Anolis sagrei: one gene and its partners. The protein of the gene in region 1 interacts with the protein of each later gene in a biochemical or structural test. Links are inferred from orthologs where the notes say so. Each region holds a gene or a part of one and is shown in the gene's direction. Other genes may lie near its edges. The genes, in order: UBE2N, TRIM63 and AURKA.

Region 1 (3,749 bases):
CTGTCCACATTCGCTGGGACTGGGGCACTAGGGTTAAGCGCCTGAAGGGGAAAAGAAAAGAGCCTGAGGCTGTTAGGAATGGTGGGAATTGGGTGATAGTATGATAGCTGGGTCCGGAAGCTCTGAGCGTTATGCACATTTTGCAAGAGTGGTTGTGAATAAGAGAAGGGACCACGTAAGGGTAGAAGGCTAGAAATGAGGGGAGGGTTGGGATGAGGTTTAGGGTTAGGTCAGAGGCGGCCCTAGGTAATTTTCAACGGTAAGCAAACAGTATTTTGGCGCCCCCCCCCCCCCAATCACTGATATATATTTTCTGTTCATCATGGGAGTTCTGTGTGCCATGTTTAGTTCAATTCCATCATTGGTGGAGTTCAGAATGCTCTTTGATTTTAGGTGAACTATACATCCCAGTAACTACAACTCGCATATGTCAAGGTCTATTTTTCCCCAAGAGCGCCCCTGGGCAAAATCAACTATACTGAGAATGCTTACTTTGCGTAATGGGTTGAGCCGCCCCTGGGTTAGGTTTTAGGTTAGGGTAAGGATTGGGCATAGGGTAATGTTAAGGTAAACTTTAGGGTTAGGATTAAGGGTTAGGTTTAGGGTAAGATTTAGGGTTAGGGCAAGATTTAGGGTAAGCTTTAGAATTAGGGTTTGCGTTAGGGTTAGGGTAAGGTTAGAATATGCTTTAGGGTTAGGGTTTGTGTTAGGATTAGGGTAAGGTTTAGAGTTAGGTTAGGATTAGGGGTTAGGTTTAGAGTTCGGTTAGGGTTTTACCATTAAAGAACTCTTATATTCCTTCTGTAATATCGCGTTGCGCATTCAGCGCTCCCGAAGGATCGAAGTAGAAACAGCGTTAGGCTCGGAGCTTCCGGACCCAGCTATCATACTATTGGATTGCTGTAGTTTTTTTCGGGCTATATGGCCATGTTCTAGAGGCATTTTCTCCTGACGTTTCTCCTGCATCTGTGGCAAGCATCCTCAGAGGTAGCACTACATCTGAGGATGCTTGCCACAGATGCAGGAGAAACGTCAGGAGAAAATGCCTCTAGAACATGGCCATATAGCCCGAAAAAAACTACAACAGCCCAGTGATTCCGGCCATGAAAGCCTGCGACAATATATCATACTATTATCGGGAACTGAAGGCCAAAACAACTGGAGGGCCTAAGTTTGCCCATGTCTGCTCCAGCCTGCTCCTCCTGCCAAAGAATGCCGGCGCCTCACCAAACTACAACTCCCAGGATCCCACTGCAATGAGGCAGGGCAAGGAACTGCCTTGCCTTGAGCCCGCGCGGCCTTCCTTCCGCCTTCCTTCCAGGCGCCCTCGCGCCCCGCCGAGGACTCCCTTTCCCGGCGTGCGTCGGGGCAGCGGCCCAGCGGGTGACGTCGCCGGAAGTGAAGAACGGACTCCTTCCGGCAGCGCGTGAGCCCCGAGCGGAGCCGAGACCCAGCGGAGCCTGAATCCCCGATAAGACAAGATGGCCGGGCTGCCCCGCAGGATCATCAAGGTAGGTCGGCTTCGCGCCCTCGGCCTCACCGTTCTCGCCTGAGGCCTTCCGCGCAGGGAGACAGGCCTCTTGGGCCTCTCGGCCGGGCCTTGGGCCTTGGGCGGAGAGGAGCCCTGAGCCGGGACTCAGCGGGGAAGGCGGCGCTTCCGGTGCCCTCAGCTGGCCTTGCCTCTTGCGCCTCTGCGAGGCCTGAGGGCCGCAACAGGGAGAGTGGGAACGCGCCGCCATTTGAGGCGGGCGGGCAGTCGGGCAGGTGGGAGTGACCGCGCGGACGGAAGGAGGGAGCTGCGAGGGAATGAATGGCCAGGCCTGCCGCCTCTCTCTCTCCCTCCCGCCAGCCTTCTCTCGCTGCCCCTCTGCGGTGAAGGGAGGCGGCTCTGTTTGTGACTCAAGGACGGGCTGGAATGGCGGGGAAATGCCGCAAAAGGCGCACCAGATGATGCCCTCAGCGCCCAGGCATTGCTCCGCCAGGGTGAGGAGGGCCACTCCTTGCCCGCTTCGCCCACAGAATCGCCGAGTTGGAAGTGACCCCCGGGAACACACGCGCCAAGCACTCCCGACAGATGGCCATCCAGCCTCTGCTTCAAAACCAGACCCTCAATTTGGGAGGAGAGGCGTGGCCGGGTTTCAGTCATGACCCAGGAGCGCCTCTTAGGCTCCTTCCAGACAGGCCCTATATCCCAAGATCGGATCCTAGGTTTTCTGCTGTAAACTGGATTATATGAGTCCGCACTGCCAGAATTTTTTTTTTTACGTGTCAGGAGCGACTTGAGTAACTGCAAGTCGCTTCTGGTGTGAGAGAATTGGCCGTCTGCAAGGACGTTACACAGGGGACGCCTGGAAGTTTTTGGATGTTTTACCAGTCATGTGTGGGAGGCTTCTCTCATGTCCCAACATGGGGAACTGGAATGGATAGAGGGAGCTGAACCCTCTCTCCCTGGTTGTTTTGGCCTTCAACTCTCACCATTCCTAACAGCCTCAGGCCCCTCCCATTTTACTCCCATCACTAGTACACATTTGTGGTTTTGACTTCTCTAGATTTGATTCAAATGTCTTCCCTAGGAATTTCCAGCTCCCAGGTGACCCTATGGTTCATACCTTTTTGTCATGCTGGGAGACCTAGAAATTTATAGTGAGGACATCTCTCAAGGGGAAAGCTTGTTTTCCACTGCCCTAAAGACCAGGAACAGGAGCAATGGATTCCAGCTGCAGGAAAAGACATTCCACCCAAACATTTGGAAAAACTTCCTGTTGGTGACAGCTCTTTTGCAGTGGAGTATGGTCCTCAGAGCGTGATGAAGTCTCCTCCTCTGGCCATCTGTTGGGTGGCTTTTATAGTGTGTTCCAGCATGGAAGAAGGGGGTTGGACTGGATGGCCCTTGGGGTCTCTTGCAACTTTATGGTTCTGTGAAATGCCATAATTCCGCAGCAGCGAGCCATGGCAATCAAAGCGATGTCAAACTGCATTCCTTCAACAGTGCAGATATACTCATGGCAAGTGGATGTAGACACTGTGTTGTCAAAGGCTTTCATGGCTGGAATCACTTGGTTGCTGTGAGTTTTCCGGGCTGTATGGGCATGTTCCAGAAGCAGTCTCTCCTGATGTTTCGCCCACATCTATAGTAGGCATCCTCAGAGATTGTGAGGTTTGTTGGAAACTAGGCAAGTGAGGTTTATAGATCTGTGGAATGTCCAGGGCAGGAGAAAACTCTTATCTGTTTGAGGCAAGTGTGAATGTTTCAGTTGATCACTCTGATTAGCACTTAATGGCCTTGCAGCTTCAAACCAAAGTATTCTGCAAGGGCATTGCACAGGGGGCACCCGGATGTTTTATCATCCTTGTGGGAGGCTTCTCTCATGTCACTGCATGGGGAGCTGGAACTGACAGAGGGAACTCAGCTCGCTTTCCCCTCATGCGAACTATTGACCTGTCATTCAGCAATCCTGCTGGCACAAGGTTTTAACCCAATGTGCCCCCTAGATGTGGGTGAAACATCAGGAGAGAATGTTTCTGGAACATGCCCATACAGTGCAGAAAACTCACAGCAACCCAGATTTAGACACCTTTTGAGGGCCCTTCCAGACAGGCCATATATCTGATCTGAACCCAGCTTTACTATTTATCCCAAATTATCATAGCACTCCATGGCACAATGAGTTAAACCCTTGTGCCAGCAGGATCGCTGACTGACACGTCATTGATTTGAATACAGGAAGACTGGGTTGAGCTCCCTCTGT
Region 2 (3,749 bases), on another chromosome or scaffold:
CCAGCTGTTATTGCATCAGCCAATCCCCTGTGAGCCGGGCGGAGGGCGGAGGGCGGGAATTTTGAAACTGCTAAGCCTGTTATCCCTATAAAAATGTCTCTGATTTCTGTAACCACATGCTCTGTAGGCGAATGATTGCTACATTGCATCCTTTTCAGCTGAATCGCTAATAAAACACCTCGGTGCCGCTTCTTCAACTTTGGTGAGATTTATTTGGAATTTTTAAAGAAATAAAAGTTGCTGAAATCTGGCTTCTCCTAGCTCGCCAAAGTAGCGATCCCTCTTTGGTGGGGTCTCAGGGTCCCTCCTCCTGGGAAAGACCCTCCTAAAGTTCCTATCGACTTCAGGTCAACTATAAATCCCAAATGACAAAATCAATCCCCCATAACCCTAGGTAGGTAGGTAGTCCCCTGACATTAAGTCCAGTCATGTCTGACTCTGGGGTGTGGTGCTCATCTCCATTTCTAAGCCGAAGAGCCAGCGTTGTCCGTAGACACCTCCAAGGTCATGTGGCCGGCATGATTGCATGGAGCGCCGTTACCTTCCCACCGGAGCGGTACCTATTGATCTACTCCCATAACCCTACCAGTATTTAAATTTGGGCGTATCAGGTATTTATGCCAAAATTTGGTCCACTGAATGTAAATACAGCCAGCATATCAGATATTTACATTATGATTATGATTCATAACAATAGCAACAGAACAGTATGAAGTAGCAACGAAAATAATGTTATGGTTGGGGGTCACCACAACATGAGGAACTGTATTAAGGGGCCGCAGCATTATGAAGGTTGAGAAGCACTGCCTTAGAGGAAGGAGGCCTGTGCAGATCAGAGAATAAGAGGCAACTAGCTCAAGGTCCAGAGCCACATTGCTGTCAGAGTTGTTAAAAGTCACCCATTGGGAGAGGACAGCAGCTGGTGCTGGAAATAGCAAACAATTTCTTGAGCAGTATAAGTTTAACCCTTGGTTTTATGGAAACAAGGAGGTCTTGGGTTGTGGATCCTGGGGTGGGTGCAGAGCAGGTTCATGTCGCTTACTTAACGCTCGAGGAAGTGTGACCATTTACACAACCGTGGCTCCAGTTTCTTTGTCCAAACAAACAACGAAGGAGAAAAATAAGGTCCATCCCTGGAAACCGACTTCCTCCAGCCATTTGGACAGGTTGTCCCCTCCACCTTGTTTACAGAGCGCAGGCTCTCTCTCTCTGGAGGGGCGATTGCTCCCCCTCCCCATGTGACAGCATGTCACCCTTTAGGAAACACGACCCCCTTCCCAACGGATCCTGCCAGCCGAAGCACATGTGACTCCCAGAGATAAATTATAAATAGACAAGAGCCAGACAAAAGTGCAGAAAGCCACAAGCTGAGCTTTAAGAGGCAGCCGACAAGTGCTCGAGAAGCCCAATAAGAAGACAGTAAGACATTTTCTGCAGAGACTTCCTCCACCTAGGATATAATTCGGAAGCCTCAAACAGGGCAATGGATTATCAGTCAAGCATCATACGGGACTCTAACCCCATGGAGAATCTGGAGAAGCAGTTGATCTGCCCCATCTGCCTGGAGATGTTCACCAAACCCGTGGTGATCCTTCCTTGCCAGCACAACCTCTGCAGGAAATGTGCCAATGACATCTTTCAGGTCAGTAGATCTCCTCCTAATATTGACCCGAAGTGGGTAAATGTCAGTTTCAATACTGCCAATGCTGGAAATAATGTTCAAGGGAGAGGTACAGGGTGAGGGAGATGAAGTGAGACAAGGAAGCAGCTGATGATAACTTTGAAAGCAAAGCTTGGATAAGTTTTTTTTAACTGAAATTCCCAGAATCTTCAAGACCTAGACAACATAATGAACTATCACAGGCACACCGGTCAGGAGAGCTTGCGAGTTGCAATTCAAAAACTATTTTTTTCTGAAAATGGAGTAGTATTTTCACAAAGAGTCAAATTTGCATTTTCGTAGAAGGACCTGTAATGAAATGTCTAGGCCAGTGTTTCTCAACCTGGGTGTCAGGACTCCTGTGGGGTTGGGTGCGAGTGTCAGAGGGGTTGCCAAAGACCATCAGAAAACACAGTATTTTCTGTTGGTCATGGGCATTCTGTATGGCAAGTTTGGCCCAATTCTATCGTTGGTGGGGTTCAGAATGCTCTTTTATTGGAGGTGAACTATAAATCCCAGGAAGTACAACTCCCAAATGTCAAGCTCTAGTGTCCCAAAACTCCACCAGTGTTCATATTTGGGCATATTGAGTATCCGTGCCAAGTTTGGTCCAGATACGTCATTTTTTGAGTCCACAGTGTTCTCTTAGATGGAGGTGCAGGTGAACTATAACTTCCAAACTCAAGGTCAATGCCCACCAAACCCTTCCAGTATTTTATGTTGGTCATGGGAGTTCTGTGTGCCAAGATTGGTTCAATTCCATCATTGGTGGAGTTCAGAATGCTTTTTGATTGTAGGTTAACTATAAATCCCGTCAACTACAACTCCTGGTGGAGCCCCTGGTGGCGCAGTGGGTTAAAGCACTGAGCTGCTGAGCTTGTTGATCGAAAGGTCGCAGGTTCAATTCCGGGGAGTGGCGTGAGCTTCCGCTGTCAGCCCTAGCTTTTGCCAACCTAGCACTTCGAAAACATGCAAATGTGAGTAGATCAATAGGTACCGCTCCGGCGGGAAGGTAACGGCGCTCCATGCAGTCATGCCGGCCACATGACCTTGGAGGTGTCTACGGACAACGCTGGCTCTTCGGCTTAGAAATGGAGATGAGCGCCACACCCCAGAGTCAGACATGACTGGACTTAATGTCAGGGGACTACCTTTACCTTTTTACAACTCCCAAATGACAAAATCAATCCCCACAACCCCACCAGTATTCAAATTTGGGTGTATCAGGTATTTGGTCCAGTGAATGAAAACACATCCTGCATTTCACATATTTACATTACGATTCATAACAGTAGCAAAATTACAAGTATGAAGTAGCAACAAAAATAATTGTGTGGTTGGGGGTCACCGCAACATGAGGAACTATATTCAGAGGCCGCAGCAATAGGAAGATTGAGAAACACTGAACTACAGGATAATCCTCTTTAAGGGAGGACACATAACCTCTATAAGCATCCAATAGAACAATACACCAACTGTTTGTAAAAACTTTGTTGGTAGAAATGGGCAAACTGCAACAAGAACCTAAGAATGGTGCCAATGTGTGCCACTAATTCTGATGAATATGAATTACAACAAATGAGGGGGGTTGGGAAACATTTATAAGTATTTTTTTGTTATCATGGTGCCAAACATTTTCTAAGGAGTCCCTGTCCCAGCCTTTGAAACATCAAACAAAGACAAATCCTCTCCGGATTGTACCTCTTGGTGAAGGTACTGGAAACAATCCCAAAAGGAATCTGTTTCCTATCTCAAGAGGAAGAACCAGCTGATAAGAGGACGGTCTCTTTGGGGCCTCTTCTAGTTGTGACGCAGTTGTTTCCAACAGTGTTGATTGCTGTTGCTTGACTTCCGAGACAACAAAATAAGGGGAGTCAGGAGGACAGCTCAGGGGCAAAGAAGATATTGGATTCGGCTTCTGGAACAGAGATCAAAGTTTTCCCAAGTTCTCATAGTTTGGCTGGCAGTTGGTGCCGTGGGAGTAGTGTTGATACTAAAGCCAAACCTAGCATGACTGACGGCAGAGCTTGCCAAGCTATGTTGGGAAAAAAATAATTTGTTGCCATTGCTCCTTCATAGCTTTTAAAAA
Region 3 (3,749 bases), on another chromosome or scaffold:
AGCCTGAAATGGTACGATATAACTGCTCTTTGTGGAAAATCCTAACCGGCTTTTGTATATTTTCATCAGTTGTTGTTAATGGAAGAGTCCCTCAGGTGTTTCTTACCCCATAAGAACAGCCTACAAAACCCACAGGCAGGGAAATGGGCTTCTTCTGAAGTTCACAGTGCTTCTTTCACTGGTTGTGTTGTGATGCAATTGACTGGCTTCTAGCCTGAAATGGTACGATATAACTGCTCTTTGTGGAAAATCCTAACCGGCTTTTGTATCAGTTGTTGTTAATGGAAGAGTCTCTCAAGTGCTTCTTACCCCATAATTGCCAAAACAACCACACGAGACATGACTCTCACAAAATGTGAGTGAAATCCTCTTCTTGACAGGTCTTGTACTCAATGGGTAAGAAAAGAAGGGTTGACTCTTAAGATATGCAGTTGTGAGCGAGAATACGGCATTTTTTGAATTAAAAAAACCATACAAGAGCACTATATCGTCTTCCCATAAATGCTGAAACTTCCTGATTGTCAGTAGTCGCTTTGGAAAAAGTGTTAAGTCACAAATCCTGGCAAGTGTGACCCTTTTTGTGACTTTCTGATCAATCTAAATGTGTCAAGTCTTTCAAAGTCCTGATTAGGCCTCTTCCTTCCACAAGTGGCTTCAAAGCTGAAGAGTACAAAACAGTTGCTTGTGGCCTTCCATTATCCTTCTATAACACAGCACAACATCCATTCCATATAAGTTTGGGCTACAAACTTAGTATTTAAACATTTGAGGCAGGCGATGGGTTTGGATTGATGATACCACCAAGATCTCATTTCAAACGGAGAAGAGCAACTCTCTCCTTCCCAACACTGAGCGAAGGGGGCGTGGCGAGGCGAAGCGAAGCGCAACTGGCGGAAGAGTAAACGGTAACCAGTGGGGGCAGCGTTGCGCAAACGGCGTAAGGAGCGCACGCGCCAGAAAAAACTCAAGCGTTAAGCTTAACAACCAGGAAGTGAAGCGTTGGGGAAGGTTCCACAGACCACGCCCCCTTCCAATTCAAATCCCCCTTTATCTTTTTTTTTTTTTTGCTTGTCGTGTTGGACGCATGCGTAGTAGAGCTGACCCTTGGAAGAAAAGAAGCTGGCCCCGTTTCTTTTCAGCTGAGACAGTTGGAACCGGAGGAAGGGGGCGGGCCCTGACGCGGAGGCAGCCAATCAGCGAGCGGACGCCGGAGCAGGAAAGGGAGATGATTGACCAATCGTAGCGCGGGAATGGTTTAAAGGGCGTTGAAGGAGGCGGGCGGAGGTTTGAATTCAAACGCTCGTCGGAAGTGCAGAGTGGTGTGGAGTGGAGGTGAGTGGGCCTTCTCGGGAGTCTTCCACAGCGTTTTAACCTGGAAGCTTCTACTCAGGGGCTCTCTTGCGTGGTATCTATCTTCTCTAAGCTTTTTTGGGAACATTTTTTTTTGTGGGGAGAGGGTTTGAAGCATAAAGAACAAGCCTTTAGGAGCAACCACCGCAGGAAGTTGGTGAGCATACAGTGAGCGGGGAGGGTGGGAGTTCTAGTCTAAATTTGCCTTTCCCATGCCCTGGATAGAGACTGGAGAAGCAACACACTGCATGGATAATGCAGTTTGAGACTGTTTCAACTATGCTGGAGAGTCCTGGGAGTTGTAGTTTGAAAAGGTCATTATCTTCTGCCAAAGAGAAGAATAAAGCCTACAAATCCCAGGATTCTACATTATAGAGCAGGCATGTACAAACTTTGGCCCTTCAGGTGTTTGGGATTGCAACTCCCACAATTCCTAACAGCCAGTATGTGTCAATGGTTCATCATCATAGGCCAATGTGAATAATAATAATAATAACTAGCCGTCCCCTGCCACGCGTTGCTGTGGCCCACATGGGGGTTCTGTGTGGGAGGTTTCGCCCAATTCTATCGTTGGTGGGGTTCAGAATGCTCTGATTGTAGGCGAACTATAAATCCCAGCAAGTACAACTCCCAAATGTCAAGATTCTATTTTCCCCAAACTCCACCAGCGTTCACATTTGGACATACTGAGTATTTGTGTAGAGTTTGGTCCAGATCCATCATTGTTTGAGTCCACAGTGATCTCTGGATGTAGGTGAACTACAACTCCAAAACCAAAGGACACAGCCCACCAAACCCTTCCAGTATTTTCTGTTGGTCATGGGAGAGCTGCGTGCCAAGTTTGCTTCAATTCCATTGTTGGTGGGGTTCAGAATGCTCTTTGGTTGTAGGTGAACTATAACTCCCAGCAAGTACAACTCCCAAATGTCAAGATTCTATTTTCCCCAAAATCCACCAGCGTTCACATTTGGACATACTGAGTATTTGTGTAAAGTTTGGTCCAGATCCATCATTGTTTGAGTCCACAGTGATCTCTGGATGTAGGTGAACTACAACTCCAAAACCAAAGGACACAGCCCACCAAACCCTTCTAGTATTTTCTGTTGGTCATGGAAGAACTGTGTACTAAGTTTGGTTCAATTCCATCATTGATGGAGTTCAGAATGCTCTTTGATTGTAGGTGAACTATAAATCCCAGCAACTGCAACTCCCAAATGACAAAATCATAAATTTTTGAGTGATGGTCACTCCTTGTGTTGTGAGACGTTTTGTTGCCAAATTTGGTGTTATATCATTCATTGGTTCTTTTGTTTTTAAGGTACTCATTATGCACAGAGCATTTATATATAGATATACTCGTACTCCATATTCTGCTCTATCTTCCTGAGGGGACTCCTATTGCAAACATTCAATGCCATTGTAAAATTGGCAGAGACAGACAATACATAAACAGAGGCAAGGCATCTCTCTTTTCCTCTCTGTGCTTGACTCGGTCATGGAGAGGTGCTGTTGTTTCATTTTCCATAGATGCCTTTCTTGGTCAGTTTTTTGCTGGCATGTTTTTTCAGGTCGCCTTTTACCTCTCCGCCAAAGCAGCACCTATTTATCTACTTACATTGTTTTCAAACTGCTAGGTGATCAGAAGCTGGACTGATGGCCGGGAGCTCACCCCATGCCGGGTTTGAATCTTCTGGTCAGCAGAATCTTCTATAGCAGGCAGTTTAAGGCATATATGACGAAGGCAGTCCTTTTTAGGTTTTTGAGAATCTGGCACCATTGTATTGTTCCCCACACCTGAACCTGCAAATTCTTCAGGTGCGTGGTACAGGCAGCCACCAAGTTACAAACAACATTCTTAAGTTGAATTTGTATGTAAATTGGAACAGGTACATTTAAAAGTGTAATTCTAGATAGATAGATGTTTCAGATAGCATAAGGAAGGGTTAATACCCCTGTGATGTTTGGTATGCTGTTTGTGCTCCTGTTCAGAAGATTTCACCTCACTTCCTGTCCCTGTGGATTTTGAAAAAAAAAAAAGCTTGTTCTGGAAGCAAGGCTTGGTGAGAAAACTTCAGTGGAGAAATCTTTCCCCCACAATCACTCTTCCAGGATGAATTTCTCTTCTGAGGGATACATTACTCACTTAGAATTATAGAATCAAAGAGTTGGAAGAGACCTCATGGGCCATCCAGTCCAACCCCCTGCCAAGACGCAGGAATATTGCATTCAAACCACCCCTGACAGATGGCCATTCAGCCTCTGTTTAAAAGCTTCTAAAGAAGGAGCCTCCACCACACTCCAGGGCAGAGAGTTCCATTGCTGAACGGCTCTCACAGTCAGGAAGTTCTTCCCCATGTTCAGATGGAATCTCCTTTCTTGTAGTTTGAAGCCATTGTTTC

What was found.
Region 2: the proteins of UBE2N (region 1) and TRIM63 form a complex in vitro, tested with the Homo sapiens proteins (2 studies listed by BioGRID). The link is inferred for Anolis sagrei from reciprocal best matches to the Homo sapiens genes UBE2N and TRIM63.
Region 3: the proteins of UBE2N (region 1) and AURKA form a complex in vitro, tested with the Homo sapiens proteins (3 studies listed by BioGRID, with this or other methods). The link is inferred for Anolis sagrei from reciprocal best matches to the Homo sapiens genes UBE2N and AURKA.

What each region holds. Positions count from the first base shown.
Region 1 is NC_090025.1:154,604,879-154,608,627, reverse strand, and holds the start of UBE2N (ubiquitin-conjugating enzyme E2 N), read left to right. Parts: upstream 1-1,375; 5' UTR 1,376-1,481; coding exon 1,482-1,511; intron 1,512-3,749. UniProt on the Homo sapiens protein: The UBE2V1-UBE2N and UBE2V2-UBE2N heterodimers catalyze the synthesis of non-canonical 'Lys-63'-linked polyubiquitin chains. This type of polyubiquitination does not lead to protein degradation by the proteasome.
Region 2 is NC_090034.1:74,269,463-74,273,211, forward strand, and holds the start of TRIM63 (E3 ubiquitin-protein ligase TRIM63), read left to right. Parts: upstream 1-1,343; 5' UTR 1,344-1,483; coding exon 1,484-1,642; intron 1,643-3,749. UniProt on the Homo sapiens protein: E3 ubiquitin ligase. Mediates the ubiquitination and subsequent proteasomal degradation of CKM, GMEB1 and HIBADH.
Region 3 is NC_090024.1:226,267,887-226,271,635, reverse strand, and holds the start of AURKA (aurora kinase A), read left to right. Parts: upstream 1-1,242; 5' UTR 1,243-1,327; exon of another isoform or gene 1,328-1,405; intron 1,406-1,435; exon of another isoform or gene 1,436-1,507; intron 1,508-3,749. UniProt on the Homo sapiens protein: Mitotic serine/threonine kinase that contributes to the regulation of cell cycle progression.